Sus scrofa: one gene and its partner. The protein of the gene in region 1 binds, or shares a complex with, the protein of each later gene. Links are inferred from orthologs where the notes say so. Each region holds a gene or a part of one and is shown on either strand. Other genes may lie near its edges.

Region 1 (4,262 bases):
TCACACACTTTGTAAAGTGATGCTATACAAATTCACATAATTATTAGCAAAATCAAAGTACTGCCATCAGAAGGGCACCACGTCAAGAAATGGCTTCAATATTTATTAGCAAGTAAGTACAGTAATTAAGTCCTTTAATCTTATCTTTCCCATTTTATGGATGACAAAGCTATCATCAAAACCTTCTTACCTCACAGGGTAGCTGCTATAAATGCAATCAAAGAAGATACCTCCCCCAAGAAGAATGGCAAATAACTACCATATATAAGTGGAAGATTTACATATGGTATCCAAACCACATGGTATGCAAACTGCAAAGCAATGGGCAAACAAGTAGGGATGAGTTACTAGCGACCCTGAACCTAATGGTTCTACTGAACATTGTGCTACTTCTCTTAAACAGGCCCCGAGATATGGGAGAAAACGGTTTATGGGGTTGGGAAACAAAGGACAAAATTAAATATTCCAAATGGCTCTTACCTATGCCCACATCCCTGGTATCTGGAACAGTGCCTGGCATTCACTAAGCTCTCAGTAACTGCTGAATGAGAACTTCAAAAAGACCCTCAATCACCAGCTTTCTGTCCTCCAAGACACAGGCTCAAGCTCCCCCCAATAGGCTCATGTGCAAAGCAGGATACCTGGCAGTTCATGTTGTCCTCGGCTTCAATGAGCTTCCCTCGGTACACCTCTCCCGTGTTCGTCTCACAGGTCACAATGTGCCCCTCAGCCTCATGTAGGACTTTAATCGGCACACCAATAGACATCTCGGCAGGAAGAGAATTCTACAGAGAGAGAGAGAGAGAGAGAGAGATAAGAGTTCATGGTTCAGGGCCTGAGAGGCATGTGGCACAAGCCTCACTCAAGGCTGGACACTCTGTAACACTCAGCAAAAATGCCAAAGGCGTGTTTTTTTTTTTAACTTTATTTTTTTTGCTTTTTAGGGCTGCGCCCCCAGCATATGGAAGTTCCCAGGCTAGGGGTTGAATAGAGGCTACAGCTGCTGGGTTATGCCACAGCCACAGCAACACAGGATCTGAGGCACATCTGCGATTACACAGCTCACAGCAATGCCAGACCCTTAACCCACTGAGCAAGGCCAGGGGGCAAACCCACATTCTCATGGATCCTAGTCAAGTTCGTTAACCACTGAGCCAGGAAGGGAACTCCCAAAGGAACTTGAAAAAGTAGCTTAACCCCAGCTTGAAGAACATATCTAGCAAACAAGATGCAAGATTGGGTGGGGAGGAACAGGGGGGCTAGACAGAGGGAAAGCTAACAGGAATGAAAAGACTGCCTCTCATCTCCCTGCTACCACAGGTCCCTTTATCTTTATCAAATAACTATGTTGCAGCAGAGGGGGTTGGAAGGCAGGTGTACTTGTTAACCCAAAGCAGTGGGTAACATCACCTTGAGAACGTAGGACGTAGACCTGAGCTGTCCAAAACAGTAACCACTGCAAGTTCTGAAATTGAATAAAATTAAAATGAAATAAGGAGCTCCAGCTGTGGCGCAATGTGGTCTGAGGCATTTCTGGAGCCCTGGGACACTGGTTCGATCCTTGGCCCACCATAGTGGGTTGCTGCAGCTTCGAGGAAGGTGGAAACCATGGCTTGGATCTGATCCGTGGCCAGGGAACGCCATATACCTCAGGGTGGCAAAAAAAAAAAAAAAAAAAAAAGAACGAAAATTAAAATCAAGAAGAGTCCATGCATTTAATTCAACCCAGTAAGTGCTCTTTGACTCTCCATTTACTTCACCATCAAAGTTAAAGAGAAAATATCAAAGTATTCACAAAGTGATAATGTGCTACACACAGGAAATGCTTATCTTGGAGAAAAAAGGGAATCAAGGCAAGCCTGACTTGACCTTAAAAGAGGAAAGCTGTCGGTTTTTAAATTCCAAAATGGTCAGCTGAAAGGTGGAATACATCTCCTGCATAAAGAGAAAAAGGAAGAGCAGTGAAAGAGACAGGCGCCCTTCGTGAGAAGCCTCAGAAGTGTAGATTTTATGCTGAACGCAATGGGAGAACCACGGCAGGACTATAGGGAAGGAATTATCCCTGGGAAAGGCAGCAGCACTTACAAAATGGTTCGAACACAGCTTAGATGCAGGGAAACTTGAAAGAAGCTTGTGTAACGGTGTAGAAAGCATGAGGGGGCGGATGGAGGCAGGGAAGCAAAGGACTTGGGAAGGAAGCAACTAGCCAGAAACGACCTCAAGACCATTGCCTGGATGCTTCGAAAAACACTGGCCTGGGGAGGTATGGAAACTGAAGGAAAAGCTAACGACCTCACTTCCAAGCGCTAGTGAGGCGACACTGTCTGGTGGCCCGGCTTCCCGCTCCTGTCCCTCGGCGAGCCCCGCGGAGCTCCTCGGCAGCGCGTCCTTCTCCAACCCTCTACTCCTCCGAGTGCCTCGGCCTCCCCACGCCCGCCCCCAGCCTCCCCTCACCGCCTGAGGTCTCCTCCTCCTTCCCGGTGCGGCCGCGACTCTGCCGACTGCGAAGCGTGAGACAAGCGAATGGCGGGTCCCGCGCTCCCAGAATACCACGCGTTCCCAAAATGCCTCGCGCAGGGCCCGCCCTCTTCCTTTTCCCAGTGGTGAGCGCGGTCTCGTCCTCGCTTCCACCTCACCCCACCGGCTGGGAAACTCGGTCTGTGGTTCAAGAGTTCCGGCCCCGGAAGACTGATGACTGGACCCAGGTGCCGCCGGAAACACCGACCCTCGGGCCGGCAAGGGCAGAGAGGGACTCGCTTTTCCAAACACCTCACACCGGCGACGGGCTGGACGGCGAGGCGGGGATCGGGGGAGGCAGCGGTGGGGCCGAGGGCCAGGACCTCCCCTCACAATTTAACCTTCGGAACCCGGCAGTGCCAGGTAAAGGGACCCCTGAGCGGAGAGGGAGACAGGAGCAGAGCGGGTGCCGGCCCTCGGCCGTCCCTCCAAAGAGAGTCGAGGTGGGGCTGGGTCTCCCGGCCCCGAGGCTGGCGGAGGAGTAGGACCTGGCAGAGGCGGAGCTTGCCGGGGGCTCTGGGGAGCCCGCGTTCGTGGAACTCCCGGGCCTGGGCGGGGCTTCCGGGGAGCGGGGCGGGAAGGGCTGCGCGTCCGCGCCAGGCCTCGGAGGTCGGGGCGGCAACCCTGGGAGCTGACACTTTGAGCGGCCGGGACCAGCGGAGACAGGAGCCTGGGAGCCTGAGGGCTTGAGGGCCAGAGGAGGCGGGGGCGGGCCGGGGCGGGGCCCAGGGCGGACGGGGCGGGCCAAGGCCTGGAAGGGCCGGGGCGGGGCTTGGGGCGGCCCAGCTGCCGCCTCCCCTTCTCCCCACCGTGCTGGCAGTGGCGGTGGCGGCCCAGGAACCCGGGGACTAGCGGCCCCGCTCCCGCCCCAGACGAGGCCGAAGCTGCAGCCGGCGCCGGGCCGGGGCCATGGGAGCCCCGCGCCGCCCACGTCATGAGGACGGAGGGGGAGGCATCGGGGCCGCCGCTCGAGCCCGGTCAGTGCTCCCTGAGGGCTTAGCCCTCATCCAGGGGAACAGGGGGGCCCACCCTAGCAGCGGTCAGGGTCCGGCCGCGTGACCTTGGACCGACGGCCGCCATGTCCTAGGCTGTAGAGCTTTGAGTGAAGTCTGGCCAGGTGTACACCCCGCCTTGGCTCCCGCAGCGCCAACCGCGGTCTGCTGGGGTTTCCTGATACTCCCAGGGCTGGAACCCCAGGCAGCTCTGATGGCGGTCTTGGTGGGAGGGTCCTGGTTGAGAGGCTGGGGCGGCAGCTTCCCCAGAAGCGAAAAGTCCTGCTGAAGCTGCCGTGAGAGATCCTGTCCCCTCGGGGAACTGAGGCCTAGAAGGGCAGGGAACTGGCAGGGAGCATAGAGCAATGGGGGAGGCCCCCCCCCCCGGCCTCCCAGACTCAGTGTTTTGTCTTGCTAGAGTTCTTCACTCTAGTTCCTTATGTCCCAGGTGGCCTGTGTTCCCTTGCAGGCAGAAACCAAAACTCAGGTTGTGTGTGAACCTCGGTTTGCTTTGCTAAATTGGGGAGGGAGAGAGCAGTAATTCCTGCTCTGGTTAAGGCACAGGGTTGGTGAGAAAGGAAGTGCTGGTAAACTCTAAAGTGAGGTCCCAGCTCCTGGGAGAAGTCAAGAGCATGTGGGAGCCTGACCCTAAGGAATCAGCAGGATACTGACTGTGACTGCAGCAAGGAGTAGGGTCTGGAGTTACCCGGGGATTGGCCTCCCTAATCCTCTAATTATCTAATTCTGTGATCT
Region 2 (2,892 bases), on another chromosome or scaffold:
TATCTGGATGGTAAATCCACAGGTATGCCTTATAATAACCTCTATGTTTCAGAAATGAAATATTTGTTATAACCAAGTTCACACTTAAGGGGGAAGTTTTTTTTTTTTTTTCCAATTTTTGGTACAGGCATTTGATCCCAGAGGGAACTGTTTTACCACTAAAATTTTTTAATAAAAATTATATATATTTAAGAGGTGCAACATGATTTGATATACATATACACAATAAAATGGTACCACAAACTAATTAACATATTCACCTCCTCACAATTTTTAGTATTGATACAGTATTAACTATAGTTAACTATAGAGCTCTAAACTTACTAGTCCTATCTAACCGTAACTTTATACCAGAATAAAGATACTTTAAAGTTATCTTTCTCCCAGTAAAGAATTTATTTGGCCGTCATACAGGTTTTTTTAATCCATTCATCAGATGTTTTTTGAGAAACAATCTCTGCGAGGCTCTGTGGCTAGCATAACAGAAGCATATGATACAAGACATCATCTCTTTTTCATTAATATTTTTAAAAATATTACTATTTGAATTTATTGAACTTCGCATTTTGGGGTTTTCTTTGTGGATTTCATGCTACAAATAGATCAAGTAGATAGATGTCTCACCCTCAAAAAAAAAAAAAGACATCATCAAAAAAGTAGTTTTTCTCAAGTAGTTTGTATTCGTGTGGGGAAGTTCTTAAACCAAAAACTGGATATAAAGTGATAATAACAAAGAGATGTACAGGATGAAAAGAATTTACATCTGTCTGGAGTAGCCAAAGTCAATTTCAGGGAGATACTTTCGAGCTGACTTAAAAGGGAGAAGTGTTTGCCAGGGGAACAAAAGCATTCCACGCAGATGGAACAGCTCGTACAGAGAACTGGAGAGAGCAGCACGGGAACGTTTGAGAAGTAGAGGCTGAGGGCCTGTAGGTGGGGTGAAACTTGTTGGGAGGATGTCAAAATTAGAAGCTCAAAAGGAGGAGCCTGTTGTGGGGGCCTGAATGTGTCGGAACTGGTGCTGTACTTAGGTCACTAGGCGGGAAACGGCGGCCCCGCAAGCGATGAAAGAAGTTTCCACACAACTTGTAAGAGACATGGCTGGGGTCAGACCTTGAGTTTCCTGACTTCAGGGTGATCCACCCCTGGTTGTGAAACGGCTACTGTACCCTCTGTAGCTCCGAAAGCGGAATTGCACAAAGAGCTCCTTTCCCCAGTTGCTTACAGCCTTGTACTACTTGTTTCCCACTTCCTCTCGGCCCCCCATCCGCCCGAGGATGCTTCCTGCCTCCCAAACACCGCAGTCCATTCAGTCTCTCAAACCCACACACAGAGGTCCCAAGAAGTCTCTGCGAACCAACCCTCGGAAACCACAAGTCCCAGCATGCAAAGCTCCTGTTAGAAAAGGGCCGCTAGATGGACCAGCATGCAACGCTCTGCGAAGGAGGCGGGGCTCTCTATAGGGAAGGCCCACTGGTAGCGTTGCCGAGGCAACTCCAATTCCGTGACAGAATACACTTCCGCCTGGGAGGCCGGGGACCGCGAGTCGCGCTGCTTTGTCGCTGTGACGCCATCCACCTGCGGCCGCGCGTGTACAGAGGTTCCGGCGGGTGGCTCCTCTCCGGCTTGAAACCTTAGAGCGGCTTCTTCTCGTCTGCGGCTTCTGACCTGCGAGCAAAGGAAAAAGCAACGAGATGACAGACCGCTACACCATCCACAGCCAGTTAGAGCATCTGCAGTCCAAATACATCGGCACCGGCCACGCCGACACCACCAAATGGGAGTGGCTGGTGAACCAGCACCGCGACTCCTATTGCTCCTACATGGGCCACTTCGACCTTCTCAACTACTTCGCCATTGCCGAGAATGAGAGCAAAGCGCGAGTCCGCTTCAACTTGATGGAGAAGATGCTGCAGCCTTGCGGCCCGCCCGCCGACAAACCGGAGGAGAACTGAGACCTCACCGTCTCACCGCTGTACGTGAGCACCTCTCTGCGTTCCTCCGGTTTGTCGTCATTCCCGCGGGTTCCTCTCCCAAGTGGACGGATTCTTCATAGCTCTGCTTTTCGTGCTTTCTTTGTACAGAGGTCCTTACCCGGGGCGTTCCGTCCGACCTGCCTTCCTGTGGAACAAAGTGTTGGGAGACCCGTCATAACCCCTGAGAAACTGAACAGTGGAGAGATCCTAAAGTCTGCAGACGTTAGAGGAGATATGGCTGGAGTGAGATGGGATTAAGAGGCTCGTTTTTGGCTAGTTGACTGTCTTCGTTGCTTTTTCTATAAAGTTTAGAAATGTTTCGGTCTCTTGGTGTGGACTACTTGTGTTCTGGTGGAGGGGCCAAGGAGGGCTCTGGGACTGTGGTTTGCCGGGTGGCGGGGGGTATAAAGAAGGGAAGGGTTGGGGAGGGGTTCAACAGTAGCACAGGGCCAAAGTTCGTTGCCAGACACTTAAATACGCTCTTTATAATATTCTCCAACCCTGACTTCTCCCAGGAACTTTTCTCAGGCCCTTAACACATTCACTATTGAGGTTTGTGATCACTGTGTCCTTTTTCTTTCATACAAAAAAAAAAAATCTTGACTCGCTTTGCCTTCTCTCTGTAGATTACACCTCTTTCTTTTGGAAATACGTGGACATATCTTGAGTATTGACAAACTGTCAAATTAGTTCTTAAATTCATTCAGCAAATACGTGTTGAATTTTATGTGGCAGGCTTTAAGGACCTATATTACACTGGTTGGGGGAGCAGAAGACCACAAAATTTGCAGACATAAGCAAGCACATGTTGGAGGGTGCTGTGGAGAATGAGAGTAGCAGTAGGGTTGCAGTTTTAAGTAGAATGCTCAGGAGTTCCCATCCTGGCTCAGCGGAAACAATCTGACTAGGATCCATG

What was found. Proteins that work in one complex are often made in the same cells at the same time.
Region 2: SNRPD3 (region 1) and SF3B5 share a complex: the UniProt entries of both Homo sapiens proteins name them as parts of the minor spliceosome. The link is inferred for Sus scrofa from reciprocal best matches to the Homo sapiens genes SNRPD3 and SF3B5.

Annotation. Positions count from the first base shown.
Region 1 is NC_010456.5:49,584,077-49,588,338, reverse strand, and holds the start of SNRPD3 (small nuclear ribonucleoprotein Sm D3), read right to left. Parts: upstream 2,853-4,262; 5' UTR 2,455-2,852; intron 2,422-2,454; exon of another isoform or gene 2,293-2,421; intron 1,466-2,292; exon of another isoform or gene 1,411-1,465; intron 786-1,410; 5' UTR 768-785; coding exon 642-767; intron 1-641. Other genes in the region: protein GUCD1, read left to right, coding at 3,452-3,494. UniProt on the Homo sapiens protein: Plays a role in pre-mRNA splicing as a core component of the spliceosomal U1, U2, U4 and U5 small nuclear ribonucleoproteins (snRNPs), the building blocks of the spliceosome.
Region 2 is NC_010443.5:21,229,714-21,232,605, forward strand, and holds SF3B5 (splicing factor 3B subunit 5), read left to right. Parts: upstream 1-1,550; 5' UTR 1,551-1,694; coding exon 1,695-1,955; 3' UTR 1,956-1,975; intron 1,976-2,084; 3' UTR 2,085-2,301; downstream 2,302-2,892. UniProt on the Homo sapiens protein: Component of the 17S U2 SnRNP complex of the spliceosome, a large ribonucleoprotein complex that removes introns from transcribed pre-mRNAs.